7 linked regions of the Macaca mulatta genome follow. The protein of the gene in region 3 purifies or fractionates together with the protein of the main gene of each other region. This does not show direct contact. Links are inferred from orthologs where the notes say so. Each region holds a gene or a part of one and is shown on either strand. Other genes may lie near its edges.

Region 1 (4,668 bases), on a different chromosome or scaffold from region 3:
CTTGCGCTTCGCCTGCGCGCTCAGCTGCCACGTGCTCGAGACGCGCCCACACAGCGGAGAAACAAAGACAGCCAAGCGGCAGGGCTGCCAGCAGCCTCCTCGACATTTAATAAATGAAATTCCATGGCTGGGGGTCCACCGGGGGTGAACGGGAGGCCACCGCTCGTCGACTGAGCGCCCGGCACCGGCTGCCTGGCCACTCCTTCCGTCTCACTCCCCCCGCCCCTTACCCCCTTCCCACTGGGGCCACCAAAGCCCATGGATTCTTTGGTGAGAGAGCAGCTCGGGGCGGCAGGTAGTACTCCTCCCTACATAGCAGCTAGGTATCGTTGCTTGCAAAAGCCCCACCAGCTGAGCGGCTGGCTGTCTGGGGAGGGGAGGCCTGAAAGATTTTTTTAAGGTGCAATTATAAATAAAGCCCATGGATCGCGATTTCAAACAAACTTGTCAATCCGGGCCGCAGCAAAAGGCGATGGAGGCAGCTTTGCATGTATTTCGGGTGGTGTGACTCATGAGAATTACTTGTCTCCCCTAGGGAAGGAGCCTGCCCACCCACAAGTCACTGCCGCTCTGGCACCGCTGGGATAAATCGACCAACTTGAGCACCCCTGCCAAAGGACTGCCCCCATCTGTTACCGAGCAGGAGTCTCTGACTTCGATAACCCCTCCTCAATTGTCACCACTGACCTGGCCCCCAGGTCTGGCCCTGGGGACCTCTGCCCTCTCCCCACAAGCAGAGTGCCCGGGCCTTTTGCTGCTGCAGGGATTGGGGGTTGGGTGCACGCGCGGCACACGTGTATGGGGGAGCATGCTCAGTGCGGGGGCTGTGCTCATGTGAGGCCTCCAACTAGGCTCCCTGCCCCCCAGCCCACCCACGTCCCTCACCTGCCTTGCCTTTGCCTGCCTCTTCGTGTGAAGTCCAGGAAGAAAGGCTGTCACCTGAAACGGCCCCTCTGTGTTATATGCACCCTTTCTGGACGCACACACCTCTGGTGGCCCAGAAACACCGTGTGTATAAGGCGGATGACAAGTGGATTTGAGTGCACACAGGCACAGTGGTCACTCCTTGGGAGGTCTTTAAAAACCGCCCAGATTCCTCTCTGGATGGAAGCATGCATGGAGAGATAGATATATTTTTAGTCCAGAGGCAGGGGAATACACTGCCTGACCTTTCTAGCACCTGGGCGTCCATATTGTTGGCAATGAGCGTATTCAGCAAGAGTGTGACACACGCACACACACCTGGACACACAGATGTGGACACCTACAGGACCGGGAGGCACACCTCACCCCAACCAGAGATAGAAGGGTACCCCAAGGCACAGCCCCTTTGACCTGGAGCGGGACTTGGGCCTCCAAGTCCTTCCTGCCTAATCCCCGCCCTCGCCATCCCTGGGCCCAGCGTCCCCCGGGCCACCCCACGCGGAAAGTGAAGGGGAGGGGGCTGTGAGGGTGACTCACATTGCCTCCGGGCCAGGCGAGCGCCGCAGCGGAGGCCAGGACCGCAGGCCCCGCTGCCCGCCGGGGCCGGGCATTAGCCGCGGCCCCTTTAAGCGCCCCCGCCCCCTCCCGCCCGCGCCCGGGCTTCCTTTCTCCAGGGGGCGCGGCCGGGAGCGCGCGGCGGGGCGGGGGTGCGGCCCCTCCCCTGGTGGGCAGGGCCTGCGCCGCTTCCTGCAGGAGCGGCCCGGAGCCGCGCAGGGGGCGGAGAGAGGAGTCGCGAGCGGCGGCGGGGCGGCGTGGGGCGGAGGGCGCCCGAGGGCGAGCGGGCAGGCGGGCACGGCGGGTTCCGGGCCAGCCCCGGGGCGGACGGTTGGCCGGGCGCGCGGAGCCTCGCCGGGGCCTCGCCGGAGCCGGGCCGGGCAGCAGGGGCCGCCGCCGCCGCCCGGGCCCGCCGCCCGCGCCCCCCACGCTGGCCCAGAGGGCTGCGGCCGCGTCGCCGCTGAGGATGTCCCGAAAGGGGCCGCGAGCGGAGGTGTGTGCGGACTGCAGCGCCCCGGGTAAGCGCGGCGGGGCCGGGGGCGGGACCGCACAGCCAGGCCGCCGCCGGGCGGGCGCCGGGGCCTGGCGAGAGCGCCGTGCGGGGCCGGAGGGCTGGGCTGGGCTGGGCTGGGCGGGGCGGGGGGCTGCGGCCTCCGGGCTCGGCCCCCGCCCCGGCCACTGCGGAGCCGCGTCCTTGGCGGGAGGGCTGTCCTGGGGGGCCCATGCTCCCTGGAGGCGGTGGACGAGCGAGGAAGGACGTTCCCGGCGCTGCCTCCCGCCCCTCGGTCTGAGGGAGGCGGGCAGCTGGCTGCCCCTCCACCTCCATCTCTATCCGACGGAAGCGCCAGCCTGGGGTGGCAGGAGGGCAGTGGCGGAGGCCGGCAGGGCTTGGGAGGTGGGGGCGAGTGTGGTTTTGTGTCATCTCAGTGCCACCCCCGCGTCTTGCACCTGCTGCTCGCGTGGTCGGCACGCCTGCCGGGGTGGTGGAGGGCAAGGAGCAGAGGGCCGGGCAGATGCGCCAGCGGGGCCTGGATACCGTCTCCTCAGGAGCAGATGAGCAGTGGCTACTCCCAGGACTCCCTGCCGCGGGTTCCTAAGGCTAGCGCTTTTTTGCGGGGCCTGGCGTTCAGGGCCAGTTCAGACCCGGGTGTCTTATCGGGAGGCATCACCAGGCCTGCTGGTGGTGACTGGGAACAGCTCGGCTGGACCCTGCTGTTCCTATTCACCGTAAGGCCCGCTTGGGAAAGTGAGCTTGGCATCAAGCTATCCTGGGCCCCGGCCCCTCCCTGTCCCCTAGCCCAGTCTGGCGAGAAATGGGTGGGAGGCAATGCCTAGATTCCCCGCATCCTGCTGGCTTCCTAGCCTGCCTCCTGGCTGTATTTACATGGTGGTTCTCTTCTTTTTCCTAACAGAGTCAGGACTGGGCTGGAGTGAAACCCCCCAGGCCTGCTGAGGAAGTCAGGGGTAATGATCCAAGAGTCTGCTCCCTTCTGATGGGGGAGGACAGCCAGTGACTGGGCTCTGCAGCTGGCCTGGGAAGGAAGCTCTAGCCCCCATCCATTCTTTCTTTAGAAAAGGAGCTATCTCCCTAGTAGGCCCCTGGGCAGGCTTCGGAGGTCTGTGAACTCTAGCGGGGCTGTGGGCATTATTAAGAGTGAGATTATGGGGTGCTGGTTTGTGGGTCCATAACTTTCAGCCACCCCTTGAGCAAGCCCAGGACCCCACAGGTTGAGCCTCACAGATGCTCTGGTGGTTCTGGGGGTGGTGCCAAGCTAGACGGTTTGGGAACTGTGACCCAGCAGGGCTTGGGCACAAGATACTCTCCTCCTTGGGGCTTTTGGTTTAGAGGGCCCTGGGGTTGAGGGTCCATACCCCTAAGAAACTATGACTCCCTTCCCCCAGCTGCAGGCAGGTCTGGGGATGGCAGGGCTGAGGACACACCTTGCCTTATAAATGTCTGCCCACTGTTCCGCACCTCCATGGGGTGAGCATGGCATGCATGTGGAGGAGAGGCTTAGCAGGCACCCTATCGGGGAAGCCTGGGGCATAGTGTTGCCTTTGTTCCCAGCTTACTCTGTAACCCCAAAAAGACTTTCCTCACTGTGGGGGCCTCAGTTTCCTCAATTAGGAGGCAAAGAAATTGGAGTAGAAATGGTTTCTGGGGGGGCTGTGATCTGATTCTGGGGTGGAGGGGTGAAGGGCAGCACCAGCAAGGCAGCAAGGCAGTTGTCCTTTCTCTGTTGCATTGAATGTCATCCAAAGCCTCTGGATGCCCAGTGGGCTCAGGGAGGAATGGTGGGCATCAGATGTGTTGGATTGCCCAGCTCCTACTCCTAGGTCCTCATCCGTCAGAGGAATTTGTGCCCCAGATGACTCTTTTCCCCTGATACACAATAGAGGTCAGGAAGATGGTGAGAAGGTGAGGATGGTGGGGTGGGGAGGATATGGACAGTCTTACACATCAGCCCACCTAGCACCCAGCGAAGTGTCCAGCACATGGCAGGCGCTCCCTGAGTGTCTGGCTTCTTGTCGGGACCCTGGCTGGCTGCTTGGGACTATCCCACACCTGGACCCTAGGATGCTGGCCCTGGCATGCAGCGACGTGTTTGGTCTGGGTCCTGTGGCATCTCAGGCAGAGAGGCATGAGGGTACCCAGCAGTCTGGAGTCCAGATCCAGTGCCAGCCCCATGGTGTATCGCTCCACCCCAGGGTCACAGCTTTCTTTTATTGTGATAGGAGCCCTGCAGTCCCAGCCACAGGAGTGGGGCCAGGGACTTTTTGTGCTTGGTTAATTTGAGGAGTCATGGAGGTCAGAGGTGAGATGCAGCCTGCCCCCAGAGAGCCCCATCCTCCCTCTGCTCCCGGGCCTGGGCACCCGGGACAAGTGCGAGTGTGTTGGTAGGCAACTGGACATGGCGTGGCTGCTCTGGCAGCTTGTGCCACCTCGTCAGGCACCGTGTGCATTCCTGCCTGCCTGGGGCGTCCAAGAGAGGAAGGGGGCAGGGAGCCCTGGAGAATGTGCATTTTCCCCTTTCCTTTGCCTTGGCCCACCTTGCCACATGGTCTCAGTCAAGGGCCTCTCCTCACCCCATGGGCTTCTATCTCAGCCTTTTCCACTTTGGCAGCCCTGGGGGTGAGAGTGAAGGCCTCAAGATGCCTGTCCTTTAGATATCTCTGGTGAGCAAGGCT
Region 2 (4,155 bases), on a different chromosome or scaffold from region 3:
GGCAGGTGGATGGCTTTGAGACCAGGAGTTTGAGGCCAGGTTGGGCAACATGGCGAAATTCTGTCTCTACTTGAAAAAAGAAAAAAGCCATTTGGTAAACAGCACAATATGCAAACATCTGCTGTTGCCAATATCTTCATCATTCCTTTACTTTCAGTACAACACAGAGCAAAAAGCTGAGGATATCAGACAGAAAACAGCCAAGGCTGCAGCAAGGGGAATAAAGGTAGGCGTCAGGGAGAACTTCCTGAAGGATAAGGGAGCCCAGGAAGAAAGTGAAATGGGCGCCTCAAAGTAAGGCCATTTTACTGGCCTCAGGGCTGGGGAGCTTAGGTAGGCAGGGGCAGAGGCTGGTGTCACCCACCTCAGAAGCAGGCTACGGGTGTTGGAGTCATCAGTGTCTGCCTCCAGTCCTTCAAACTTGTTGGTCAGTGTCAGGGACACTTCTAGCTTGCTCAGGTCCGTGTGCCCATCTGCAGCAATGCTCTCCCCTGAGGTGTGGTGAGGAATGAGAGGGAGACAGGCATACACACGCACACACGCACGCACACACACACGCACCGATCGGGTCATGTTAAATCGGCTGCTCTACATGCCCCTCTTCCAAGAAGTTTTCCCACACTGGCCTGCAGAACCACCGTGTCCCCAACCCTTAGCACCGATGGAAGGGCTGTTACCCACAGAGCATGCCCTCGTGTTACTGGGGCTGTGCCACCCCCACACCCTCAGCCCTGGGTGCCCTGAGGGTAGAGGAGCCATGCCTCCCCCAGCCTGCAGCTCCTGGCTCTCTCTAATCACCATCTTCATTCTATCCTTCCTCCCAGTAAGTTGGCTTCCTCCTATTCCGTGGCCCAGAAATGCCTCCTTCTCAGAGAAACCTAATGAGACCCTTATCCCCGTGCCTCTCTCACATCATTTAATTGGCCATTTACCTGATGATCACGGGTCCCTCTACCGTCTGTCTACCTTCTCCACTTCAATCTGTGTCCCTGTGCCCATGTCAGGACTAGAGGGAGAGTATGGAACTAGCCGCCTGGCACAAGACCTAGACTGCATGGGCGCGCTCACATGGCCTGTCTGCCTGCCTGTCCCTCCCTCCCGGCAGGCCCCTTAGCTGGCCCCGGCTGCCAAGGAGGGCACACACCAATAAGGTCAGGGATGGTGGGCAGCTCCCCAAGGTCCTCCAAGAGCTCATGCAGGGGGTCTTGGTGATCAGAGGCAATGCAGTCCTGGTGCTCCAGCAACAGCTGCAGGACAGAGGAAGAAAAGGAAATGCAGGGTCTGAGCCAGGTCTTCTCCCTGGGGCCAGCCCACTACCCCATCACAGGCTACCAAACCCCTGCCCACCCAGTCAACACTCTCCAGATCTCAGCCCCTCACCCTGTGCGTGTTGACCAGCTCCCCCACGGTAATGTACACCACAGGTTTGGCCACAGCCACCATGTCTGAGTACTCGTCCACTGCAAAACGCTCCTCTGGCTCTGGCACCTGGCAGGCTCTATGGATGAACTTCCTATCCAAAGGGAGGGCGTGTGAGAGAGCGGGGAGGGCCAGCACCCCACACATCTTCTGTCCCCATCCTTTCCCCAGCCTTCTCCAGCGATTGCTCAGGCCAATTTGGACTCTCCAGTCTCAGCTTCTGCCCTCTGTCCTGTCCTACCTCCGTCCCAGTGACCCCTCAAGCCAATCTCTCTTAATAGTCTCCTTTTCTCTCCACTGAGGAGTCCTTCCAACAACCTATCCTCCACCCCACTCATTACGCTCTTCCCTTCTATTTATGCCTCTTGTCCTCATGGATTCTGGAGGGGAGAAGCGGGATGTCAAAGATGAGAAGAGGGAAGAAAGGGGACAGAGAGGAAAGGGACCCAAGACCTGAACTTGAGGTGTGTTTCCTCCAGATAGTCATTCAGGACCCGCAGGTGCTGGCTCTGCCCAGAGAAGGCCTTGCCAGCCGCAGCGTGCTGTAGGAGCTGAGCCACAGCCCCCAGGGCATGGCGCTGGGGGGCAGCCAGGGTGCCACCAGCTGCCATGGCCACAATGTCGAAGGCGTCAGGAGCCACCACAGCTGGGTTCAGGAAGCGGTAGTACAGGAGGTTCCCGACCACCTGAGGGCAGAGAAGACTCTCCCAGAAGTGTCCAGGGGCCACCTTGACTGGTGCAGCCCCACATTCCCAGCTTGCTTGGCTGGAAGGGATACCTGGGCCAACCCCCTCACTTCAAAGAAAACAGGCCCAGAGCAGGCAGGCAACTTTCTCAAGGCCACACAGCAAACCTGAGCAAGAGCTGGGACTTGAACCTAGATCTCCTGACAAGAAGCCAGTGTTGCCCACTCTGTTCGCTCATGCCCCAGCGTGAGCCAGGCTCCATTTACAAGGGGCAGCATATTTCCCTCCTTGGATTTTTATGGCATAGGATTTTTTGTGTTTTTGTTTCGGTCTGAGGATCGCAGGTACCAGCAAAGCAAAGGAGGGATTGGAAGGTGGGGGTGGGAAGATAACACTTGCCTTATAGACCTCGCTGTCTGTGGCGTCAGGGAATTTCTCTGCCAGAGTTGCCTTCAGGACTTTGGCCACATATCGCATCCCGTACCTGGGGACAAAGAAACAGGTGCACTGTGCCTGTGCCTCTGCCCATCTCTCTCTGCCAGATATAAGAGCTTGAGTGCATGGCTGTCTCTCCTCCCCCAGGCTCAGCCACTCCAGAGTGGAGCTCAAGCACTGTCCCTCCACTATACATAGCCACCTCCCTGCTGCCTTCCTCTGAACATCTCTGGGCCTTGTCTATCCCTCCTGCCTTGTGTCAGTAGTCAGGACCAGGGGCCTATTATCTACTAAATGTCTCACACAGCCTCCAACCTGGCTTGAGAACCTCTTCTTTGAGACTCTCTGGTCTCCCCTACAGAGCACTCCAGATCACCACAGTCATCCCCCATCCCCCAGAGGCACTGTTAACCTAAAGCTTGGGTATTTGACACTCACAGCCAAAACCCTGTCCTAGGACAGCCTAGGTGGCTCCGAGGTAGTCAACCTTGTCAGCTGTCACAGAGCACCTGTGAGTGGCCTAGTCTGGGCTAGAGGCAGGGTCCCAAGGAGATCAAGTAGCCAGGAGGAGAAGCTCCAGTTTGGACTCCACCACCAACCAGAGATATTATCTTAGGCTATTTCCTTCTCCTTTGTAAGTCTGTCCCCTGGTCTAGAAAATGGGAATGATCATTCTTGCCCTCTCTTCTCACAGGGTTTTTTGAGGATCAAGTGAAATTATGTCTGCGAGAGTAATGCATAATGGTAGAGTACTATTCAAATGTGCTAGACTTCATTATCATTATTATTCTTATTATGGATGTGCCACCTACAAATGTAATTAAATTCGTTTAAAAGCAATTTCCCCTCCTAGGGTACCAGAGACAGAAGTTTACAGCTCATTGTGTACTTTCCTTTCTTAAGCCTAGAACAATCTTTTCTTACTCCTAATTGTAAACTCTTTTTTTTTTTTTTTTTTTTTTTTTTGAGACGGAGTCTTGCTCTGTTGCCCAGGCTGGAGTGCAGTGGCCAGATCTCAGCTCACTGCAAGCTCCACCTCCCGGGTTCCCGCCATTCTCCGGCCTCAGCCTCCCGAGTAGCTGGGACCACAGGCGCCGCCACCTCGCCCGGCTAATTTTTTGTGTTTTTAGTAGAGACGGGGTTTCACCGTGTTAGCCAGGATGGTCTCGATCTCCTGACCTTGTGATCCGCCCGTCTCGGCCTCCCAAAGTGCTGGGATTACAGGCTTGAGCCACCGCGCCCGGCCAATTGTAAACTCTTAATCCAGTTCTCCAGGTTTGGGGAGCAGGGTTATGAACTCTATGGGTTCCCCCTTTCAGCATCCTCATCCTGCCCTGGGCACTCCAGCCTGGGCAACAGAGTGAGACCCTGTCTCAAAAATAATCAAAAATAAAGAAAAACAAACAAAAGAATGAAATCCTGCCATTTTCGACAACATAGATGAACCTAGAGGTTCGTGTTAAGTGACATAAGCCAAACACAGAAGGACGAATACTGCATGATCTCACTCATATGTGGAATCTAAAAAAGGTGATTTCACAGGAGTAGAGAGTAGAATGGTGGTTACCAGAGCCTGGGGAGGGCAGGAGAGGGGGAGAGAAGATGGGGAGAGGTT
Region 3 (4,155 bases):
AGCTGCATTTTTGTAACTGGTTCTCGATGATCCTCTCCCATGCTAAAGATTTGGTACCATATCAAGTCCTTGGGAGGACAGATCTTCAAAAATAGCCCATAGATGAAACCCAGATAGCTGTGGAAACTAATATGCTCTTTGAACGGTAAATCCAGAAAAGCTTGAGTGGCCTGGCGCGATGGCTCACGCCTGTAATCCCAGCACTTTGGGAGGCTGAGGTGGGCGGATCACGAGGTCAGGAGATCGAGACCATCGTGGCTAACACAGTGAAACCCCGTCTCTACTAAAAATACAGAAAAACCAGCCGGGCGCGGTGGCTCATGCCTGTTAATCCCAGCACTTTGGGAGGCCGAGGTGGGCGGATCACAAGGTCAGGAGATCGAGACCATCCTGGCTAACATGGTGAAACCCGTCTCTACTAAAAATACAAAAAATTAGCCGGGCGAGGTGGCGGGCGCCTGTAGTCCCAGCTACCAGGGAGGCTGAGGCAGGATAATGGTGTGAACCTGGGAGGCGGAGCTTGCAGTGAGCCGAGATTGTGCCACTGCACTCCAGCCTGGGTGACACAGTGAGACTCCGTCTCAAAAAGTCTCAAAAAAAAGAAAAGCATGAGTGAGATGAAATTAAAAGTTTTCTCATTTGCCCCCCGCCTTTTTTTTTTTTGAGACAGTCTCACTCTGTCACCCAGACTGGAGTGCAGTGGCGCAACCTCTGCCTCCCGAGTAGCTGGGATTACAGGTGTCCACCACCACCCCCGCCAATTTTGTATTTTTAGTAGACACGGGGTTTCACCATCTTGACAAGGCTGGTCTTGAACTCCTGACCTCGTGATCCACCTGCCTTGGCTTCCCAAAGTGTTGGGATTACAGGCGTGAGCCCTTTTTTTTTTTTTTGAGACGGAGTCTTGCTCTGTCGCCCAGGCTGGAGTGCAGTGGCCGGATCTCAGCTCACTGCAAGCTCCGCCTCCCAGGTTCACGCCATTCTCCTGCCTCAGCCTCCCTAGTAGCTGGGACTACAGGCGCCCGCCACCTCGCCCGGCTAGTGTTTTGTATTTTTTTTTAGTAGAGACGGGGTTTCACCAGGTTAGCCAGGATGGTCTTGATCTCCTGACCTTGTGATCCGCCCATCTCGGCCTCCCAAAGTGCTGGGATTACAGGCTTGAGCCACCGCGCCCGGCCCCTTTTCTTAAAATAGTTTCAGGGTTCTATGTTGGAAGAGCGAGTTTGTCAGTTTTTATTGGAATAAAGAAATGAATTGACAGCATTGTGATAAACACTGGAAGTGTTCACTTCTCAAATTTGTCCATGTCTGGACGTGGTGGCTCACGCCTATAATCCCAGCACTTTGGGAAGCCAAGGTGGGTAGGAGTTCGAGACTAGCCTGGCCAACATGGTGAAACATGGTCTCTACTGAAAATACAAAAAATTAGCTGGGCATGGTGGTGGGCGCCTGTAGTTCCAACTACTTGGGAGACCGAGGCAGGAAAATCGCTTGAATCCAGGAGGCAGAGATTACAGTGAGCTGAGATCGTGCCACTGCACTCCAGCCTGGGCAACAGAGCAAGACTCCATCTCAAAAAAAAAAAAAAAAAAAAAAGCTTGTGCTTAAGGGGTGGCTTCCCCCAGACCTGCAAAGCGGCCCAGAATTGGGGGCCTTGGTGTCAGCAACAGTGTTGATTTTGATAATGCAAGTCTGTACATTCAAACCAGGCTCCCAGAACTAGGTGGAAGATAGGAACATTTCTGCATAGGAGACTTGGAATGTTCTGGTAGCATTAAAACTGTCAGCCCTGAGGCCTGGCTATGTTCTGGGAGAGCCCTTTGTCTGGTAGGCATCATTTACCGATGGGTACCTTTCTTGTGTGCTGTGGCTTCAGCTAGGCTGTGTCTGAGAACTCAGATGGAGCACTGGAAAGTGCCGGTGGCTCCCGCCTGCCTTCGCGGTAAGGGATGGTGCAGAACATCTCCGGCTGTGCGGGCTGTTGTAGATTCTGGTGGGTGCTGCCGTGGGAGGAGGAGCACGTTGTTGCCCCCATCAGGATCTGCCTGACCTCTGTGCACCATTGTTGAACTTCTTACGCCCGCTTTTGACCAGGTAGTGTGGAGTGTTTCAGTGGCATTTGTCATCGAAGATGTTAGATTATTATATGCTTTTGGATTCCTCTGGAGGGTTAAGACAAAATTCTAATAAAGAATCGATAAGAGGTTATGTTGATTTTTATTTTCCTCAGTCTGTACTAAACTCAAACCAAGTTCTCATGCATTACTAGGTTGGAGAAACGTACGGTAAGGATATAACCTCCCGGGGCAAAGACAAGCCGATTGCCGTATGTAAAACTTTCAGTCCACTTCAGTTTCAAGCTTTCTCTGTTCTCTCATTTCACTTCGTTTTCTTAGGAATTTTTTTTATTAAGCCTCAAGCTCCTTGAGTGTTTTATATTTAATTCACTCAAGGTTGGGGTTTTGCTTGATGAAATAAACTTGATTAGAGTGTGATAGTTTACCCACCGGCTTGAATTAAAGCAGTTTGTGAACTGCCATCTTCCCCTCCGGAGTGAAAGGAGGGGGGAGAGTGAGAGGGCCCCTCTCCTGGCTGGTTGGAGATGCAGATACGGAGACTCCTCTTGGAATCCCACCTGGCTGTGAGCCGAGCCGGAGCAGGACTAACCTTGTTGCCGGGGCCTTCTTTCTCCGCTTCGGTGTCCCGTGTGGTGGGGCTGTCTGGGCGCGGCTGTGCGGTGCTGCTGAGCTAACCCCACCGTGCTGGAGATGGTGTGCTGGGTGCCGCGGTGACTCTTGGACGAGCTTGTGCATGCGCCAGCGTTCTTCAAACGCCAGTGATAAAAAGCTGTTGTGTGGGATGTTTCTTTCCCTTTCAGGTACAAGGCATCAGCTGGAGGGTTGAAAGTGTAGCTTGGGAATTGTGTGCATTTCATAAAGTAGCATAATTGCCTTTTTCTAGGAGAATATTTTAGAAATGTAGCATTTTAGAAGTTCTTGGGCATTTTTAAATACAGGTAAATATTTGAATTTGGTTTGACACAAAATACAGAATGGAGGAAGCATGCAGATGTCTGGCGTGTTCCCCGAAGCACCCTCCACTGTGTCCTCCGCACCGACCCTTCGCGCCTCTGCTTCAGCCACAGCTGCCCCGGGAGCGAGTTCTCCTGAGGCCCTGGCTGTGCTGACTCGAGGGCAGCGTGAGGGTGGTCGTCAGCTGTGAAGGTGCCACTTACACACTAAGTCCTCCTTCCTTGCGGAGGGAAGGGCTCAAGTAGCAAATATTGGAGCCCCCACTTGGTGCTGGGAGCTGTGACAGGCAGCTCCTGAAGAAGCAGTTTAATTGGAACCAGTGACCATCTAAAAATGTTTGTACTCTAAACCAGATTTTACAGAAATATTGGAATCATACCTTCATACTTGATTTTTTGTTTAGATAGATAGGCGGAAAGGAAGCCTCCTGGGGGGTCTGGTCTGATCCTCCTGATCCTTGAAGAGCTTCTGGCATCATTCTGCCTTCACGCTCCCCATTTTCATAAGTAACTGGTGGCTTGACATGCTGGGTTTGGTTTGGGAGCCCTCTGACAAACTGAAAGGGTGGATCAGGAAGCATCTGACCAAGCCACTGGTACCTAGTAGACACGCTCTGCGTCCGACAAGTCCTTCCCAGCAACATCCAGAAAGCAAAGTGCAGGCTTTGTTCGAAGGTCGTTGTCTAAATGTTTCCCTGTGTTTCCTTTTTGTAGGATGTGTTCTTAATTTGCTTTTCCCTTGTGAGTCCTGCATCATTTGAAAATGTCCGTGCAAAGGTAGGTGGGGATTTAAAGTATATGAGTTATAGAATGACACTCTCAGAAATAAATACTTTATAAAGTATAATAATAAATAAATTTTAAAAAAAAGAAATAAATACTTTAAAATATCACTTAGCCTAGGAATTTTCAGTTATTTAAATTGGTTATAGGAATTTGCTACTTAAGTACATGATTGGGTTTTTTATTCTTTTGAGACAGGGGTCTCACCCTGTTGTCCAGGCTGGAGTGTGGTGGTGACATCGGAGCTCACTGTAGCCTTGAGCTCCTGGGCTCAAACAGTTCTCCTGCAGTTCTCCTGCCTCCGTTCCTGTGTTGCTGGGACAGTAAACGTGCGCCGCTGT
Region 4 (4,155 bases), on a different chromosome or scaffold from region 3:
AGTTTACCTTTGAAGAAGGTTACTGAGCAAATGTGAGAGCATGAGTGAGATGACATGGAGATGTTTAAGTACTTAGGGAGGTAAACTATTTGTTTCTACTTAGCCCATTGTTAGTAGGAGAGTAACCATTGCTGATTGAAATAAGCCTTGCTTATCATTAAAATATTTTAGCAGGACTTCTGGTTAGAAATACTTTGCTGGCAGTTAGTTGGGGTACCTGAATACTGTCAAACAGAACTGCACACCTCTAAGTAAACCTTTTCATTAATTTGGATGGGCCTCATAATGAGAAATCAGAATGAGTGAGGTTTAACTGTACTTCAAAATCTACAAATATAGGCTGCCCAAAAGGCTGAGGGTGTGCTTGTTGCTTCTTCTAAATAAGTCTCCAGCAGGCAGGAGTTGATGAAAGACTCAATAATCTCTGGACAGAACACATGGACTACTTACGGAATGAGCACTGCATGATGACGATGAGGTTTTGGATAATGAACTGCAAGAAGCAGGTCCTCTGATCAGTCTGTTCAGCTGCTCTAACCATTCCTGGAAGTCCTGGTTGTTGTTGCAATGGACCACAATTCTCTCCACCACGTTACCTACATCCCCCAATTATGATCAATTTGAAAACAGAAGGCAAGGAAAAACTTGAGCTTCTCCCATTCATAAATACACTTCATGCAACTAGGACTTGGGTGTGTATTTTCAGGGGTTTTCATACCTATGGGATAACCCTGTTGAAATTTCTACAGCAGAAACAGATAACCTGTGATGATAAAGTAAATAAATATTCATGTCTGATTTAGAAAACTGTCCTTGATTTTTACTGCTTACAGAAGCTTAAAAGTAGTGTAAAACTTCACTATATACAAACTTGCAATCCAAAAACGTAAGTACATAGTCCATCTAGTTAAGTCTAAAGTGGGAATATTGTACTGGTTCCCCCAGTATCAATGTTGGAACAAGATCCAATTAAGACTATTTACAACCTTTTGGCAAATACTAAACCTTAGGCTCCTTCTTGGGAAAGAAGAGGGTAAGGCCATGATCCCAGTCTTAGCCACTGTGCCATATCAGCACCAACAGTGAAGCCACTACATATAAATGACACAGGCCTGGCAAAAGGGATCATAAGCTAAAATGTCAGGGAGAATTACTGAAGCCTGGCATTATGCTCAATTTGTGAAGAAAGTTTGATGTCTTTTCAGAACTTTTTAGAAATACAACCAAGTCTTACTAACTCATGGGCTGATGATAAAATTGCTGATAAAAGTCCATATCTTTGGCTCCTCTGCCACCAGGGAACAAATGACAGAAGGGAAGAAAATTGCATTTACATCAGTCCATTTTGTTATTCCTTAGCTCTCACAAGTAGCTCTTATGCAACAGAAGATTGAAACTAATGGCAAAGCCATGGCTTTTGAATGAGAGGAGACTTCTCTGTGCTATTGCTGTACCCTAATTATCCCAGGAAATGGAATATACTTTGCCATGCCTGCGTAAAATTTGCTCGTGGCCTATGTAACTGAAAATAATGGCATTTATTTATTAAATTCCCCTTCATTCCAAAAAGAATTGGAAGTAGTTACATGAAAAAGAGAAAATTACCTACCAGTGATTTCAAATGTGCAGTCATTCCCTTCAATTTCATCTAATCTAGTCACCACCGTTCCTGCTATTGGTATTTTTCCCTATTAGAAAAAGAACATTCTCATTAATTCTGCAGTCATACAGGTCTCTGTTTATTTCACTTAGATTTGCTGACCCTCTCAGCACTGCAAAATTATGGCTAGACGTATTTTTCCACTATGTCAAGAGCAGATAATATGATTCCCTGTTCTAAATTTTAATCAGACTAAGAAAGCAAGGGGAAAATGTGGATTGTGTTTGGCTAACACACCCTAAACTATAAGATCAGGATTTACAAAGCAGTTTCCTTTTCTAATATATTTTCATAAGAATCAGTAAAAAAAAGTGAAGGCTCAGATGTTATAAAAACTACTAATTGTCAGGCCAAGATGTAACAGGCAATAGTAACTTATAATGCTCTATATCTTGGGAGTTGACTGAGGGACGTTTAATTTCCTAAGGAATAACATGCTTCTTTAGAAGCCTGAATCATGTGCTGTGACTATAATAAGACAAACATAGGAGCAGGTCCCAGCTTTATGTTTTCTCAGCAATAATGACATGGGCCTGTACAATACTGCTGCTAATTTATCTAGTTTCCATTTATGCATGCAAAACCTAGTGCATAACTAAAGCGGTGGATATATTCAAGATAAACTCATTATACTAATACAAAGGTCTTTGATCTAAGGAACATCTGCTCTTACAAGCTCTTTAATTACAATGAAGGGTCAGAACATTCTGGTTCTCCTGGCTTGAGCTTTTAATGCCATAGTGGAGATACTGCATCTGGATGGAAACCTGTTTTCATTAGCGGGTCTGCTATGTGTTTTATGTGAAATCTACTAACCTGATAGATAAAGCCACTCATCCGAGGACTTGCAGATAACATTATCAGGACATTTGAAAATAACATAAGGTACCGCTCCTCTTTTTCCTGAGAGAGAATGAACAATAACACATGAAGAACAGAATTGGACATTTTATCTGTTGAAAATTTCTGGAATCACTGCCTTATAACATAGACCTTATATAAACAACTGAAACGTTAACAATAATTTTTTTAAAAGATACCCAACTTGAAAACATAAAACTAGTTGAATTTTACTTTGACATGGATATAAACCCACAGTTTATCACTCTTCTTCCTATACATAACAATTAAATACAAATAACCATGCTTGCTTTCCATGTATGAAAGCCTGAGGAGTCACCACAGTTTATGCAGCCAGTGAGATGTGCTAGACCTGGGCACAAAATAAGTCTCCAGGTTCACAAAATGAAAATATGTTTTACTTTGAAAAAATGGCAAAATGAAGGGGTTTTCAGGTGATAAGAAATTTAGTATGCTCTAACGTGTTAAAGTCATATTCATAAAATTAACTTTAGTCATTAAGAACAAGATAATTATTGGATTTATGTAAAATGTAAAAGTAGATACACTTTTTTTTTTTTTTTTTTTTGAGATGGAGTTTCGCTCTTTTTGCCCAGGTTGGAGTGCAATGGCACAATCTCGGCTCACTGCAACCTCCACCTCCCGGGTTCAAGCAATTCTCCTGCCTCAGCCTTCCAAGTAGCTGGGATTACAGGTATGTGCCATCACTCCTGGCTAATTTTGTATTTTAGTAGAGATGGGGTTTTTCCATGTTGGTCAGGGTGGTCTCAAACTCCCGACTTCAGGTGATCCACCCACCTTGGCCTCCCATACACTTTTTTAATGGCACTGAGGAAACCTCGACACATGAGGGCTGCTGTGAGCCCCTTCAACAGATATGCAATTAGTATACGCAAAAATTACATTTAGCTTCCATGCCCAGTCATCTTAGCTGAAATTATCCTTATGCCTGTCTCCATCTCCTTCCTTCCATTTGAGAAGAGCAACCCTTCCAGGCTAACTATTCTAACAAGTGCTCCACATTCTCTCACATCTTTGTCTCACTTAGTTTTCCTCTACAGACATCTCCTCTTCTTCTCCCAGCATCCTCTTCTGTTTTACTAGCTTTTCCTCTTTTTCTTTAACATATGTACACCTCCTATCCTAACAGACCTTGGCTTGCCCCCATGTGGCTCTTTATGCATAATATCCCATTTCTTGACATTTTATTGCCAAATTACTTGCTGCCTTCATTTTCTCTGCATTGATCCATCCCTAACTGCACCCTCCTTGCTCTTGCAAAGTCATCAATAACTGCCTTCTAGCAAAATCCAATGGCTTCCTCTTGGTCCTCACATTCCTTGCCCTCTGAACCTTCAGCAGCAGTCAGCACACTGGCCATTTTCAAATGCTCCTTGTGGAATTTCCATGACACCATGCTCCCCCAGTTCTTCTCTACCTTCCTCTTTGTCTTTTTATTTTTTCTGGCACTGATTCCTCCTGCCTTCACCCAAGAGGTTTATCCCAAAGGTGTGAATGACTAATAGTTAGACTCACTGCATTAACCTTCCCTGGGGTATCTGCATTTTAAATGAGATTGCTTATTAACCCAAAGTAATGAATCTCTGCCAAAGACGTGTCAGAGTGTAGGAAGA
Region 5 (3,824 bases), on a different chromosome or scaffold from region 3:
AAGCTTCATGTCACTTGAGTTTGGCAGCACAACAGGATGGCTCACACACCCACTGCTTTTCTGTGCCGTGCGTCATATGCTTCTGGGCAGTTTCCAAAGGCCGGCGGAAAAGTAGGCGAGGCCCGCTTTTTATGGCAACTTGGCAGCCATAGAAAATTTTAAAATTGATGAAGGTTGCAATGCTCCAAATAACGTAAAATGCCTGCCAGGCTACAACATAAAGTGAGTTCAGTTCATCATGCTGGACTTGTGATTATCTGTAATATTCATTTACAATAAACAGGCATAACATTTTTCTCCATTCAGTTAGGATTTTCAGAACCTCATTGCCTTAATACTTTAAAATATGGCTTCAGTTTCTCAAACATGTTCATGGCTCTACTGGTAGTCTAGACCGATTGTTTTTCATTCTGACAGATTGTGTGGACCAGCTCCAGCCATGCGAACCCTGTGGATCAGGGGCAGCTGAAGGCTGGACTCAAGGCTCCTGGCCCCTTCGTGCAGCACTCACTGGGCCTGGCTGATCTCCTCCTCCCACACTGCTGGCCTCCGCCAGGTCACAGGCACAGGTAACAGAGAGGCACTGAGTAGCCTCTTCATATCCAGACTGGAGCAGCCACCACGGCCATTTTACACCTTATTTATCTGCAGAACCCTAAATATAAAACTAAACCTGTGCTGGTGAGGTGAGTGGTGTATGAGATGGTGTCACGGTCCCATCCCACCTCTGCCCTGGAGGTGACCTACATCCGAGCTGGCCTGCTATGTGAGTTCAGGGTAATCAGAGTTCCTTGCCAAGTCAGGCAGCACAGGATTATAGTAAGTAAACAAACGCAAATAGATCTCATTAGTTTTATTTCTATAACCTTTCGATCTGATCTCACGTTAGATTTTGTCACAACCGGATTTAGTGGAAGCAGAGGAATCAAGTTCACTATTTTCTGAAACACTGACACAAAAAAGGGATGGGAACAATGACTTAGAACTAAGACTGCTCATAAAAGGCCATCAGAAAGATCCCTAAACAAAAGCTAAATAGTTACAGTTAATGGTAACTGGCAAGGGATTTAATACATTTGCTGGTATTAAGTTTCTTATGGAATGAGTGAATGAACGAACACAGCAGCATTTTGAGAGAGAGCTGCCAGAACATCCCATAGAAAAACAATTTTGTAAGAACGTGATGGCAACAATCAGCAGCCAGTATTCTCAGAGTTCCTAATTACCAAAAGCATATACAATTTAGTCTAGAAAAATAATTTTATAAAATTAAGCTTTTAGATTGAAAAGCACCCCCTTTAACAGGTAGAGAGATACTGAAAAATAGTCCCTAAAAATCTCACTCAATAGTTGCCGGAGAGAAAGGCATGCCACGTTGAGTTACAGAGTGCAGCGCATGCCCTCAGCTGCTGGCGAGGGACTGGTGGATGGGCGGCTGGAAGCAGCGCACATGCTCCACTGGTGTGCCCTCCCCGTCGCCCGACTTCAGGTACTTATCCAGGATGGTGATGATCTCGTCATTGAGAATCTGGAACTTGCGAATTCTCTCCACCATCTTCTTCAAAGGCTACAACCATGAAAATTGAGATGTTTTACTATTAACACTTGAACATTCATTCTTCGTGTTTCAAAATGTCAGGATTCTTATATTTTCTCAGAAAAATAGTAGCAAATGGAATTGACACACATAGTGTTCTTTTTGTTTTTTTTTAAGATAGGGTCTCACTGTGACGTCCTGGCTGGAGTGCAGTGGCATGATCATGGCTTACTGTAGCCTCAGGAGATCCTCCCACCTCAGCCTCCTGAGCAGCTGGGACCACAGGCGTGGACCACCACACACAGCTAATTTTTAAAATTATTTTTGTAAGGACAAGGTCTTACTATGTTGTCCAGGATGGTCTTGAACTCCTGAGCTCAAGCAATCCTCCTCTGCCTCAGCCTCCCAAACTGTTGGGATTACAGGTATGAGCCAGCTCTCCCAGTCACATACCATCTCTTTAATGCAATGGTTGGATGGATGAATATATTTTGAATTTAGAATCCCTCTGTTGGCTTCTTGCTGCTGTAGATTCATTCATGTGCACAACTGATAGTCCTGTTCCTTCCACATCAGCAATTAAGAACCTACTGTGTGCTCAAAACTGGGGATGTCCAGATGAAGATGATGTGGTCAGTGGAGAAAGGTCAATCAACTAACACAGGCTTTAGACTTCCAGTCTGGAAATAATACTGTGATGGGGTACTCTGACAGACCCTCCTACTACAACAGGAATAAAGAACGTACGTACACACAAACAAAAAACTTTGAAAAGCATTTCTGGTTCTGCCTATGCAGGTGGTAAGGGGGAAGCCAGGGCCTCCTCGGGGGCACATGCCAACAGCAGCAGTGGGGTGAGGAGCGGCCCAGGCATAAGCAAGTGGGACCACACCAGAGACCCCAAAAAAGCCAGGAACCTCCAATTCGGCTAAAGTGGCCCTCAGTTGCCAGCAGCCCCTAGAGATGGGCAGATGCAAATGCACATCTTGGAGGGAAAGCAATCTAAATTAAGTCCAATTAAATAAAGACTCCCAAATAACCCAACACACAAGGAAACAGCAAAGTTTTAAATACCTCCAAGACCTTCAGATACTAGAAGGAAAACATGCAGAATATAGAATATATGAACTGGATAAAGAAATAAGAGATGGAAAAAATTCAGTTAAGACAAACTCAGTTACCAAGAAGATTTGAAGAAGAACCTAACTGAACTTTAAAAAGTGAACTAATAATTTTTTCAGAGTAAAAGCTCAGCACATTAGAGCTGAAGTAAACGAGTTAACTAAGACACGTGAAGAGAATACTCTGGATACAGCTCTGGGAGCCACGGAAATGTAGGAGTTGGAGGTAGAATGGCCCCTGAGAGAGGCCCATGACCTGGAGCCTGTGACTGCATTGCCTCCACCCACGTGGCCTGGGCAGGTGTGGCTAAGACTGTGGACTGTAGGACAGGACAGGGAGAGTCTCTGGGGTTGTCCAGTGGGCTCAATATAATCATGATCAGGGAATGTTCTCTGGCTGGAGGCAGGAGAGACCTGGCAGAAGACGAGAGGCTGAGACTGCCCAACCCACCATTGCCGGAGGGGGTCACTTGGAAAGCATGAGAAGGAAGGGGGACCCAGTCCTAGAGCTGCCAAGGAATAATTCAGCCAACTGTGCATAAGCCTGAAGGCCTCCAGGCTGAACACAGCACCTCGGACACTGGCTTCATGAGATTGAGCAGAGGACCCAGCTGGGCCTGGCTGAACCCAGGCATCTGACTTAGAGAACTGTGAGATAATCAGTGGTGTTTAAACTGCCAAGCCTGTGGTGATTTGTTTTTATGGAAGCAACAGAAAACTAATACAACAGGGCTGGGCGCAGTGGCTCACACCTGTAATCCCAGCACTTTGGGAGGTGGGTGGATCACTTCATGTCAGGAGTTTGAGATCAGCTTGGCCAACATGGTGAAACCCTGTCTCTACTAAAAATACAAAAATTAGCCGGGCATGGTGGTGGGCACCTGTAATCCCAGCTACTCAGGAGGTTGAGGCAGGAGAATTGCTTGAACCCAGGAGGTGGAGGTTGCAGTGAGCCGAGATCCTGCCATTGCACTCTAGCCTGGGCAACAAGAGTGAAACTCTGTCTCAAAAACAAAAACAAAAACAAAAAACACACAAAAAAAACTAATACAACAGAGGGATGTGGAGAATAGAATGAGAAGGTCTAACATATGTCTAACTGAAGTCGTGAATGGCAAGAACAGGGAGAATGGAAGGGAGGCTAAAATATTTCAAAAGATAATGGC
Region 6 (4,155 bases), on a different chromosome or scaffold from region 3:
TGTGGTGCTGCCCCTAGCCCTGCTGTTTGCAAGGATCCTAGAAGGATGCTTGGGCCACCACAGGCAGGGACAGAAAATGCACTGTGCTGGCTCTGTGCCTGTCACGTGTGTGCTTGTGTCTTTGGACTTTTCACACAAGTCAGCTGTGATCAATCCTGCCACTTGGCACAACTTCTCTGAGGCCTCCAATTTAGCATCTTAAAACGGAGCTTAAATTAAAATGTATGAAAGACTTGCATAGTGTCTGGCACTAAGTAATATTCAAAAATGCTTCTGTTCATTCCACTACCCAGCTACGATGTTTTGAGACTTGAGAAATCTACCTGGGGCTTGAGAGAAGGAGACTTCAGCCAACCTCTGGGGTGGTGGGCATCCCAACTTCCGAGAATAGCAGACAGAGCACGCTGTGTGGTCAGGACCCCCTCAATCTGCTGGAGGCTGAGCGTCTGGGTGCTTCGGGCCAGCCTCCAGCCAGTGCCCCCCGAGGCCTGACATCTCGGCCACCCTCACGGGAATTCTCCAGCCCCACTGCAGCCACAGGCCACAGAGCAGCGCTGGCCTGCTGGACGTCAAGTCATGGCTGGGGGGTTTGCCTTCCACCTCTAGATAGCCAGGTAGCATGTGACTGCTTTCTGAGTGGCATGAAGTATAGATAAAACCAACTTTCTGGGTTTTAAGTTATAAACAAGCAGTGCAGTACGTCTAACCCTCTAATCATAGCCCGCTGGCTGCCCAGGACTGAGACAAGCAAACACCCATCCATTTCCCGGGAGGGCAGCTCCAATCCTGACTTCGCCTTTGAAACTGACAGCCCACGAGAACCCCTTCTTTATTTTTGTTTCCAACTACAGCTAGCACTTTCAGAATCAAGTTCGCTATGGAAGTGGGCTGTGCCTCATCTTTGCACTCACACTCTGATACAGCTTGTCTCCTCCAAATCTCATGTTGAAATGTTGGGGGTGCGGCCAGTGGGAGGTGTCTGGGTCATGGGAGCTGACCTCTCATGAAGGGCTTGGTGCTGTCCTTGCAGTAATAGGGGTAATGAGTGGGTTCTCATTCTATCAGTTCACGTGAGACCTAGTTATTTAAAAAAGCCTGGAACACGACCCCCTGCCCATACTCTCTTTCTCACCATGTGACATGTCTGCTCCCCTCCCCTGCCTTCAGCCAAGAATAAAAGCCTCCTGAGGCCTCACCAGAAGCCAAGCAGATGCTAGTGCCATGCTCATACAGTCTGCAGAACCATGAGCCAGATCAACCTCTTTTCTTCATAAATGATGCAGGCTCAGTTATTCCTTGACAGTAACACAAAACAGATGAACACAGACTCCCAATGTGGTGTACTTCTGGGAGGATCAGCTCTCAGGCCCAGCCCCAGGATGAGAGCCGGCTCCTCGGTTTCACCACCCTCACACGCTCACAACTGTGGAACGAACGAGACTCACTAGGACCTGTTTTTAAGGTCAGTTCAGCAACACGGGCCACGTGAAGTCCCTGTAAGTCCTTGTGAAAGACGGCCAGGAGACGGAAAGGTGGAGCAGATGAGACAGAGCAGGTACCCCAGGAGCAGGTGCAGCTGCTGGGGCCTGGTGGGAAGAGGTCTTTGGATTCTAGTTCCGCTGATTTTCACACTTGGGCTATAACTAGCTTAGAGTTCCAGTCAACAAGGGGCGAGGAGAAGGCAGTATCTGACACGCAGGACTGTTTCCTGACAACAAAAGGACTCCTGCTCATCTTCTGGGATGTTAGGACATGTGTAGGAAACAAGTCCAACAGAGCCAGCGCGGCAGAGCCTAGCAGCAGAGCGGCCCTGCCCCAGGCCCTGCGGAAGCTGCACGAATGCTAAGCCCAGCTCTGCGGCTCGGCTGTCCTATTGCCTTGGGACATTCCAGGTTAGGGAAGGAGGACCCCAGGTTTTTGAGTTGCTAATTTATAACAAGTGCAGTCAGAGCCCACTGTCAGCCCTGTTGGCTACAGGTGGGGCAAAGGTAGGTCCCTGAAGCTACCACAGAGCGAGGGAAGATACCCTGTCAGGTTACCGTTTCCGAAAGGATCACAGCCTCCGACTGCTGCACGGAAATGTCGGTGGGTTTAAATTCTTTCTCAAATATCTCTTGATGTTTGCTGTTCCTTTTTTCCTTCTTCTTGTCCTTCTTCTCCTTCTCCAGGTCATCCTTGTCCAGCTTGTCCTGGGACCTGGAGTGCATTTTCTTTGGCAGGAGAGGCTCCAGAGCAAACCTAAAGGAAAGGTCAATGATGTCTTAATAGGAGAGCAATTGCTTTCCACCCCACAGACACGTGTAAAGTCACTCACAATCCATCGAAGACATTTACAAGGAAAGCAATGATTTAAAAGGGAGGCCAAGGGCGACTTCAGATACACAGTCACCAGATGCAAGGACTGTGTTTCAATCCCAACACGGACAACTGTGAAAAAGATAGAACACTTAGCACGATAGGGCAAATGTGAAGTCTGACCGGATATTTGATGATGACATTAAGGAATTGTTCATTTACGATGGGAGGATGGTATTTAGGGTATATTTCAAAAGGGGAACCCTTGTCTTTTAGAGATTTATATAGAAATATTCTGTGTATTTTTTAATGGGGAAAAATGGACATCAATGCAAAGAAACATCTGCTACCTTAATCCTGACCAAGGCTCTATGATTACAGATAGACGGTTGTTTCCAGGTGAAAGCACTTTGCATGGCTCGGTCAGAAGCAAGCCAGGGCCAGCTCACAGGTGCTTGGAGATGCCCTGAGGTTTCCAGCTGGCAACTGAGCTGGAGACAGAAGACCTGCATTCTAGCTCTGCCACTTGTGGGTGACTCTTGATGTCCTCACAACCTCTGGCAGCTGTTTCACTTATAAAAGGGTATGAAGACACCACCACCCTTCTGCCTACCCCACAGTTGCTGTAAAAACACATTCGTGGTTACGCCATGGAGTAAATGAATCTTAGGCTAGTTTCTAAGGCATGTACCAAAAGGTTAGTGTGCACGCACATCCACACACGATTGTGATTTGTCACTCCAACACAAGATTGGCATGTCCATCCTGTTTCTGGTCCTAGAAGTCTTATCAGGAGGTGGAAGAAACTGATCCAATTCTAAGACTGGAGTCTCATCCCTAGAAGCTCCTGCTGTGAAGAGGAGTCAGGAGAGGCGGTTGAACGGATGAAGGCATGGGCCGGCCTGAAAAACCATATAGCATAACTCACATGGAAGGCAGGGCTGTTACTAGGATCTTACATTTTCAAAATATAACCTGCTCTTTGGAGCTCTGAGTCCTCACAGCAACTTCCAAACCTGACTTCCTTGACTGCCTGGAGAAGAAATTGGCTTTTTCAAGGGGAGCATGATTTCAAGAGAAGAAAATTTAGCCAGCCAGTCATATTTTCATCCTAGCTCTAGTTTCTCTTACATGTATTTCTGCATGGGACACTTGGAAGAAAGCCACTGTTCTCATTAAGAAGGCCATTGCAGGGCCGGATGCGGTGGCTCATGCCTGTAATCCCAGCACTTGGGGAGGCTGAGGCGGGTGGATCATTTGAGCTCAGGAGTTCGAGACCAGCCTGACCAACATGACGAGATCCTGTCTCTACAAAACATACAAAAGTTAGCCAGCCATGGGGGTGTGCACCTATAGCCCCACCTAATCAGGAGGCTGAGGTGGTAGGATGGCTTGAGCCTGGGAGGCAGAAATTGCAGTGAACCGAGATTGTGCCATCGCAGAGCCTGAGTCACAGAGTCAGATCCTGTCTCAAAAAAAAAAAAAAAAAAAAAAAAAAGACAGCCATTGCAACAATCTTGCTCCCCATTGATGTGCTCACTGGAAGGCCACTGCAACAATCTTGCTCCCCATTGATGTGCTCACTGGACGGCCATTGCAACAATCTTACTCCCCACTGATGTGCTCACTGTTGATTTCCAGGTTGTGTGTCCCATAGTGGGGAGTCAACTGAACCAGGAAGGGAAGGATCATTTGCAAAACTGCGCTGAAATCCGCTGAAGATGCAGACTGCCCAGAGCAAGAAGCACCACCTACTCTTTGCTTCTCCCATCTAATGTGGCTGTGCAGTAGGATGTGCTGCAGGAATATACACTATGTAAACAGTAATGGTATTAAATCTAAGCACTTCATCAATAGCTG
Region 7 (4,894 bases), on a different chromosome or scaffold from region 3:
TCCGCCTCAAAAAAAAAAAAAAGAAAAAAAGAAAAGAAAATGCTAGAAAGTCAGCTGATGCCATAACCACTCATACTTGGCAAAATGCCAAAAGTGGGAAAAGGAAAGAAAAAAAAATTACAAGGGCCATATCTTTGAAACCAATGTCTGCAAGAGTGATAGAAGCCACACAATGGCATCCATAATGTGGCCCTTTCCCAGTCTCATAACCACTTAAAAATGTATTCCTTCTTCCTCTCCGTCTCTTCACAACACCTATTGGTCCTCACTTCATTGATGTAAAAATGGGTAAAATATCAGCGACCTCATGCCTTGGGAAGATTAAAGGAAAGTTATTTAACAAACACTTATACAGCACTTACGCTGTGCCAGGCCTATTCTAATTTACAAACTTTGTGGTTTTTTTTTTTTTTTTTTTTTTTTTTTTTTGAGATGGAGTCTCACTCTGTCACCCAGGCTGGAGTGCAGTGGCGGAATCTCGGCTCACTGCAACCTCCCGGGTTTAAGTGATTCTCCTACCTCAGCCTCCCAAGTAGCTGAGGTGACAGGCGCCTGCCACCTCGCCCGGCTATTTTTTTGGTTTTTTTGTATTTTTAGTAGTGACAGGGTTTCACCATGTTGGCCAGGCTGGTCTCGAACTCCTGACCTCAGGTGACCAGCCTGCCTCACCTCCCAAAGTGCTGGGACTACAGGCGTGAGCCACCAAGCCCGGCCCTATTTTACCAATAATAACACTTCGAATCCTCCTAAGAGCCCTATGAGGCAGGTACCATTATCATTATTTTACAGATGAGGAACTGAGGCCCAGGAGAGACAACTAAACCTGCTGAGGGCCACTAACCAGCACCTGGTAGAACCAGGATTCAAATATGAGCAGGCTCGTCTGAACCCCATGCACTTGAGCACCCTCTGAGATAATTTAACCCCTTCATCGGTAGCAGATCTATGGTGGCCTCCAGAAATGGTTGCTAACTTACTATCATCGTTATTTCTGTCGTACAATTCATTTCTACCTTTCCAATAAACTTTCCCGAACCAGTGAACCTTACTTACTGCCCATAAAGTTCACCTGTGCCTCACCACCCTGCCCTCGCCCGAGTTTTCTGCTCTGACCGAATCCTCACACGCCAGTGCAGCCCCAGCCTCCAACACCAGGTGCACCGCCAGTGTATTTACTGATCCAGTGAATGAAGGTGGGCCCGGCCGGGCTGGTTCCCATCCTCTGATCAACGCCTAGGGGAACCAGTAAACTCCAATGCTGACCATAAGTGTCTCAGAAAGTAGGTCTGGAAAGCCCAGCCCTCCGCTCAGGAACCTATGAAGACCGGGGAGGATAGCGCATATGCGGCCGCAGGATGGAAACCTCGATCAGAAGGCTGGGGCAGGTGACTGGGCTTAATTGCAAATTTTAACATTTACTTCAGCAACCAGTTCATTAAAAACAAACTACTCTGAGGCCTCTTTTTTTCCCACCAAACCCAAGAGGAAGCGAAAAAGAGCGCAGCCGCTCTCCCTGGGGCCGTAAGTGCTTCCAGCTATCTGACCTCCACGCTGCCTGCTGCAGCCTCAACCTTTCCCCTGGTTCGGAGTTCTTTCAGCAGTAGGTCCAGGAAAACACCTGCCCCGCTCCCCACCGCCCCCCCCCCCACCGCCTCCCGAGACTAGGAGCCCGCCAGGGCTAAGTAGGAGGGATACCCTAGGGACCCTGCAGGGTTTTAGGGTTGGGGTGGATTGGAAATTGTTCATTGCCTTTCAGTTCCGGGACATGGAAGGACACTGAGTCACCAAACGCCGCCATGGGCCGGAAGCCACCGCCCTAGCCTCAGCTGCAATCTAGAGCGCGGCGTATCCCGTGAGCCCACTGGGGACTACGACTCCCGGCATGCTCCGCGGCCGTCGGAATTAACCCTTCAGGGCTGGGGGGCCGCGCTGTGCACCGCCCCCTCCCCAGCCACAGACGCGGACCCCGCAGGGTGAGTTTTGGGGGGCTGAGGAGAGCCGCTTTCTTTAAGGTTTAGTGGGGTGTGTGAGAGTGTGTGTGTGTGTGTGTGTGTGTGTGTCTGTGTGTGATGTATTTTGTAAAAATGGGACAGTTTGCAGTAATGAGATTCAGACACTGTTTTGCGAATGGGAGACCCAGCATCAACCCCGGGGCCTAAGTGGAGTCACTGCTATCTTCCTCAGAATGCTACCTAAATCCTTTCCTAATTTCCCCCAGAACAAAAGTAGGCCGCAACCCCTCCCCACTCCCAAACACCCCCCAACTTGGACTCTCTCCCAGTGCCCCCGGCAAGGTTTGTGACCTGGCCCCTGAGTCGGGATTTTTATTATACCCCTGGTAGTGGGATGAATACTCATGGAGGCCATAGGAGTGCCCACATCCTCTTGGATTAGGGAATTTAAGCCTTCTCCCAGAGCCCGCCCTTCTCGGGTGCCACCACAGGGTCCCCACAGGTTCAGCAAGCGCCCTACCTTTTGTTTGTGTTGAATGACAGTGGTCTTGTGGAAGAAGGTTCCTTCCATGGAAGAATGGGTAGCAGATGTTAAACCTGATCTTTGCCCCCACTCCTTCCCCTAAAACAACACTGCGCACTAGGAGACAATGAGGGATGTCACACTCCTGTTTCTATGACTATTCTTCCTTTATACTGTGAATAGTTTCAATTCTTGGCTGGGTGCGGGCTCAGGAACTACAAGTATTAGGGATTATTAGACTGTAGGGTTAACTACCCCTGCTCTTTACAAAGCCATGGTCAGAAAGGAGTGGAGGGGCTGGGCAGATGGGCTGCTTGTTTTTGTCATTGCTCCCAGACCACACTTTAACTTGTTCCAGTTCACACAAGCCTCCCTGACTGCTACCCCTCACCCCACCCTTCGAGAAGACTAAAGCTGCTGGATCACCTGCTTTGCCTCACCACCCCCATCTCAGTGCAAGCATCCTATCCTCACCCTGGAGGTTAACTACCTCTCATTCTGGGCAGTCCCTGGCTTCCTCCCCTACCCTCAAAGGAAACATTGTTCTTTTCTGGACAGCCTTTGGGGATGAGGGGACAGAGGGAAGAAGACCTTGGGGCAGGAGTCCTGAACCATAGGAGGCCAGGGGAGTGAGGGCAGACGGTTATATCTCTCCTCTACCTCATCCTCGCCACAGCCAACTGGCTCCCTGCCCCTGCCCCCGCCCCTTGACATCCCAGACTCCCTGGCTATTTAAACAGAGATGGGTGCCCCCATCCGCACACTGTCCTTTGGCCACCGGACATCATGCCTCCCAAGAAGGATGTTCCCGTGAAGAAACCAGCAGGGCCCTCCATCTCCAAACCTGCTGCTAAGCCAGCAGCAGCAGCAGGGGCTCCTCCAGCCAAGAGCAAAGCTGAGCCAGCTGTCCCCCAGGCCCCTCAGAAAACCCAGGAGCCTCCAATCGATCTCTCCAAAGTGGTGGTGAGTCTCTGGAAAGTGAAGATAATTGGAGGGGGTGGTTTGAGGGTGAGATACAGCTTAGGGGATTAGGGGGTATCTAGAAGGTAGGGAATCAATGAACCCTGGAATGAGATTGGGGCTTTCCCTTAGTCCCCCATTTGGAAGCATCCAGGCTTATGACTCTGCTGTTGTCTTTGCTGTTCTCTCCCTCTAACCTATAACCATGTGTGTACAGCACATGCACACTCACTTACCCCCTGCTGGAGGCAGGGACTCTTAGATGGGGAACATCTGGGTTCTGAGGACAGTTTCAAGGTGAAGGGAAAAGAGCTGTTGCCTGCCCCTGGCTGGTGATTCAACTCAAAAGGCCTGCAGCTCTGAACTCCAGGAAGGGAGGCTGAAGAGGACAGACTTGTTAGACAATCACAGCTGGGGGCCAGGGGTAAATTTAGCCTTTGTTCAGCCCCCAGTTATGTGAGGGATGCAGGGCTCAGGGCAATGGAGGGAGGGAAACAGGTGGCATGGGATTAACCCTGTTCCCAGGAAACCCTCCCCACTGTAATTCCTCTTCTTGGGATTCTCCCAAGGCCCAGAGCTGGGAATGGGACTGAGGTGGCTGGGCTTCCAGCCTGGTCCCTTTGGGCCCCTCCTCAGAAGTGGCTGCCAGTTGGTTGGGAAGAGTGCTGGAGAGGGACTGAATAAACTGTCATCTCTCCCCACCTGCTTTTTTCTTCCACAGATCGAGTTTAACAAGGACCAGCTGGAGGGTGAGGAGAAGCTGGTCTAAGCCCACTGTCCAGTCCCCAATCCCCTGGTCAGATTCTCTTTCTATTCCCCTAACCCCAGTCCCGACCTTGAAACCTCCCATACTAGTCCTCTTTTCCTCCCTTGTTCTGTTCACATAGTTTCTGAAATTCCCTTCTGTCTGGGGGTGATGGGAACCCCTAGTCAGTGTCTACACTGACCCTTCCTTATACCTTAGAGTTCAAGGAGGCCTTCGAGCTGTTTGACCGAGTAGGGGATGGCAAGATCCTGTACAGCCAGTGTGGGGACGTGATGAGGGCCCTGGGCCAGAACCCCACCAACGCCGAGGTGCTCAAGGTCCTGGGGAACCCCAAGAGTGATGGTGAGGGGACCCTTGGAACAATTTGGGTTTTTAGTTTTCAAAAGTTGAATGTTGGTAACAAAGAATGAGGTGGATCTCAGGACTTCAAAAACTGTCAAACACAGAAGCAGGAAAATATCCTAAATGCTGAACAGGATGAAAGCATTGTGGTAGGGTTGGGAGCCGGGTCCTATGTGATACTACAGTGACCTCTCCTTCATCTCTCTCCAACCTCCAGAGCTGAAGTCCCGGCGTGTGGACTTTGAAACTTTCCTGCCCATGCTCCAGGCAGTGGCCAAGAACCGGGACCAAGGCACATATGAGGACTACTTGGAGGGGCTTCGTGTGTTTGACAAGGAGGGGGACGGCAAA

Evidence for each region.
Region 1: the proteins of RAC1 (region 3) and GIT1 purify together in Homo sapiens (affinity purification with mass spectrometry; 3 studies listed by BioGRID). This does not show direct contact. The link is inferred for Macaca mulatta from reciprocal best matches to the Homo sapiens genes RAC1 and GIT1.
Region 2: the proteins of RAC1 (region 3) and IQGAP3 purify together in Homo sapiens (affinity purification with mass spectrometry; 3 studies listed by BioGRID and IntAct, with this or other methods). This does not show direct contact. The link is inferred for Macaca mulatta from reciprocal best matches to the Homo sapiens genes RAC1 and IQGAP3.
Region 4: the proteins of RAC1 (region 3) and ARHGEF6 purify together in Homo sapiens (affinity purification with mass spectrometry; 3 studies listed by BioGRID, with this or other methods). This does not show direct contact. The link is inferred for Macaca mulatta from reciprocal best matches to the Homo sapiens genes RAC1 and ARHGEF6.
Region 5: the proteins of RAC1 (region 3) and CYFIP1 purify together in Homo sapiens (pull-down; 3 studies listed by BioGRID and IntAct, with this or other methods). This does not show direct contact. The link is inferred for Macaca mulatta from reciprocal best matches to the Homo sapiens genes RAC1 and CYFIP1.
Region 6: the proteins of RAC1 (region 3) and DOCK1 purify together in Homo sapiens (pull-down; 6 studies listed by BioGRID and IntAct, with this or other methods). This does not show direct contact. The link is inferred for Macaca mulatta from reciprocal best matches to the Homo sapiens genes RAC1 and DOCK1.
Region 7: the proteins of RAC1 (region 3) and MYL6B purify together in Homo sapiens (affinity purification with mass spectrometry; 3 studies listed by BioGRID and IntAct, with this or other methods). This does not show direct contact. The link is inferred for Macaca mulatta from reciprocal best matches to the Homo sapiens genes RAC1 and MYL6B.

What each region holds. Positions count from the first base shown.
Region 1 is NC_133421.1:38,328,411-38,333,078, reverse strand, and holds the start of GIT1 (ARF GTPase-activating protein GIT1), read left to right. Parts: upstream 1-1,666; 5' UTR 1,667-1,713; exon of another isoform or gene 1,714-1,866; 5' UTR 1,867-1,945; coding exon 1,946-1,997; intron 1,998-4,668. UniProt on the Homo sapiens protein: GTPase-activating protein for ADP ribosylation factor family members, including ARF1.
Region 2 is NC_133406.1:110,388,806-110,392,960, reverse strand, and holds part of IQGAP3 (ras GTPase-activating-like protein IQGAP3), read right to left. Parts: intron 2,590-4,155; coding exon 2,505-2,589; intron 2,106-2,504; coding exon 1,873-2,105; intron 1,514-1,872; coding exon 1,381-1,513; intron 1,248-1,380; coding exon 1,145-1,247; intron 492-1,144; coding exon 365-491; intron 1-364.
Region 3 is NC_133408.1:44,612,211-44,616,365, reverse strand, and holds part of RAC1 (ras-related C3 botulinum toxin substrate 1), read left to right. Parts: intron 1-2,269; coding exon 2,270-2,326; intron 2,327-3,745; coding exon 3,746-3,808; intron 3,809-4,155. UniProt on the Homo sapiens protein: Plasma membrane-associated small GTPase which cycles between active GTP-bound and inactive GDP-bound states.
Region 4 is NC_133426.1:143,016,389-143,020,543, forward strand, and holds part of ARHGEF6 (rho guanine nucleotide exchange factor 6), read right to left. Parts: intron 2,564-4,155; coding exon 2,477-2,563; intron 1,689-2,476; coding exon 1,610-1,688; intron 597-1,609; coding exon 451-596; intron 1-450. UniProt on the Homo sapiens protein: Acts as a RAC1 guanine nucleotide exchange factor (GEF).
Region 5 is NC_133412.1:1,499,901-1,503,724, reverse strand, and holds the end of CYFIP1 (cytoplasmic FMR1-interacting protein 1), read right to left. Parts: intron 1,568-3,824; coding exon 1,403-1,567; 3' UTR 839-1,402; downstream 1-838. UniProt on the Homo sapiens protein: Component of the CYFIP1-EIF4E-FMR1 complex which binds to the mRNA cap and mediates translational repression. In the CYFIP1-EIF4E-FMR1 complex this subunit is an adapter between EIF4E and FMR1.
Region 6 is NC_133414.1:139,490,103-139,494,257, reverse strand, and holds part of DOCK1 (dedicator of cytokinesis protein 1), read right to left. Parts: intron 2,239-4,155; coding exon 2,040-2,238; intron 1-2,039. UniProt on the Homo sapiens protein: Involved in cytoskeletal rearrangements required for phagocytosis of apoptotic cells and cell motility. Along with DOCK1, mediates CRK/CRKL regulation of epithelial and endothelial cell spreading and migration on type IV collagen.
Region 7 is NC_133416.1:63,303,382-63,308,275, forward strand, and holds the start of MYL6B (myosin light chain 6B), read left to right. Parts: upstream 1-1,928; 5' UTR 1,929-1,973; intron 1,974-3,194; 5' UTR 3,195-3,261; coding exon 3,262-3,438; intron 3,439-4,156; coding exon 4,157-4,184; intron 4,185-4,399; coding exon 4,400-4,543; intron 4,544-4,760; coding exon 4,761-4,894. UniProt on the Homo sapiens protein: Regulatory light chain of myosin. Does not bind calcium.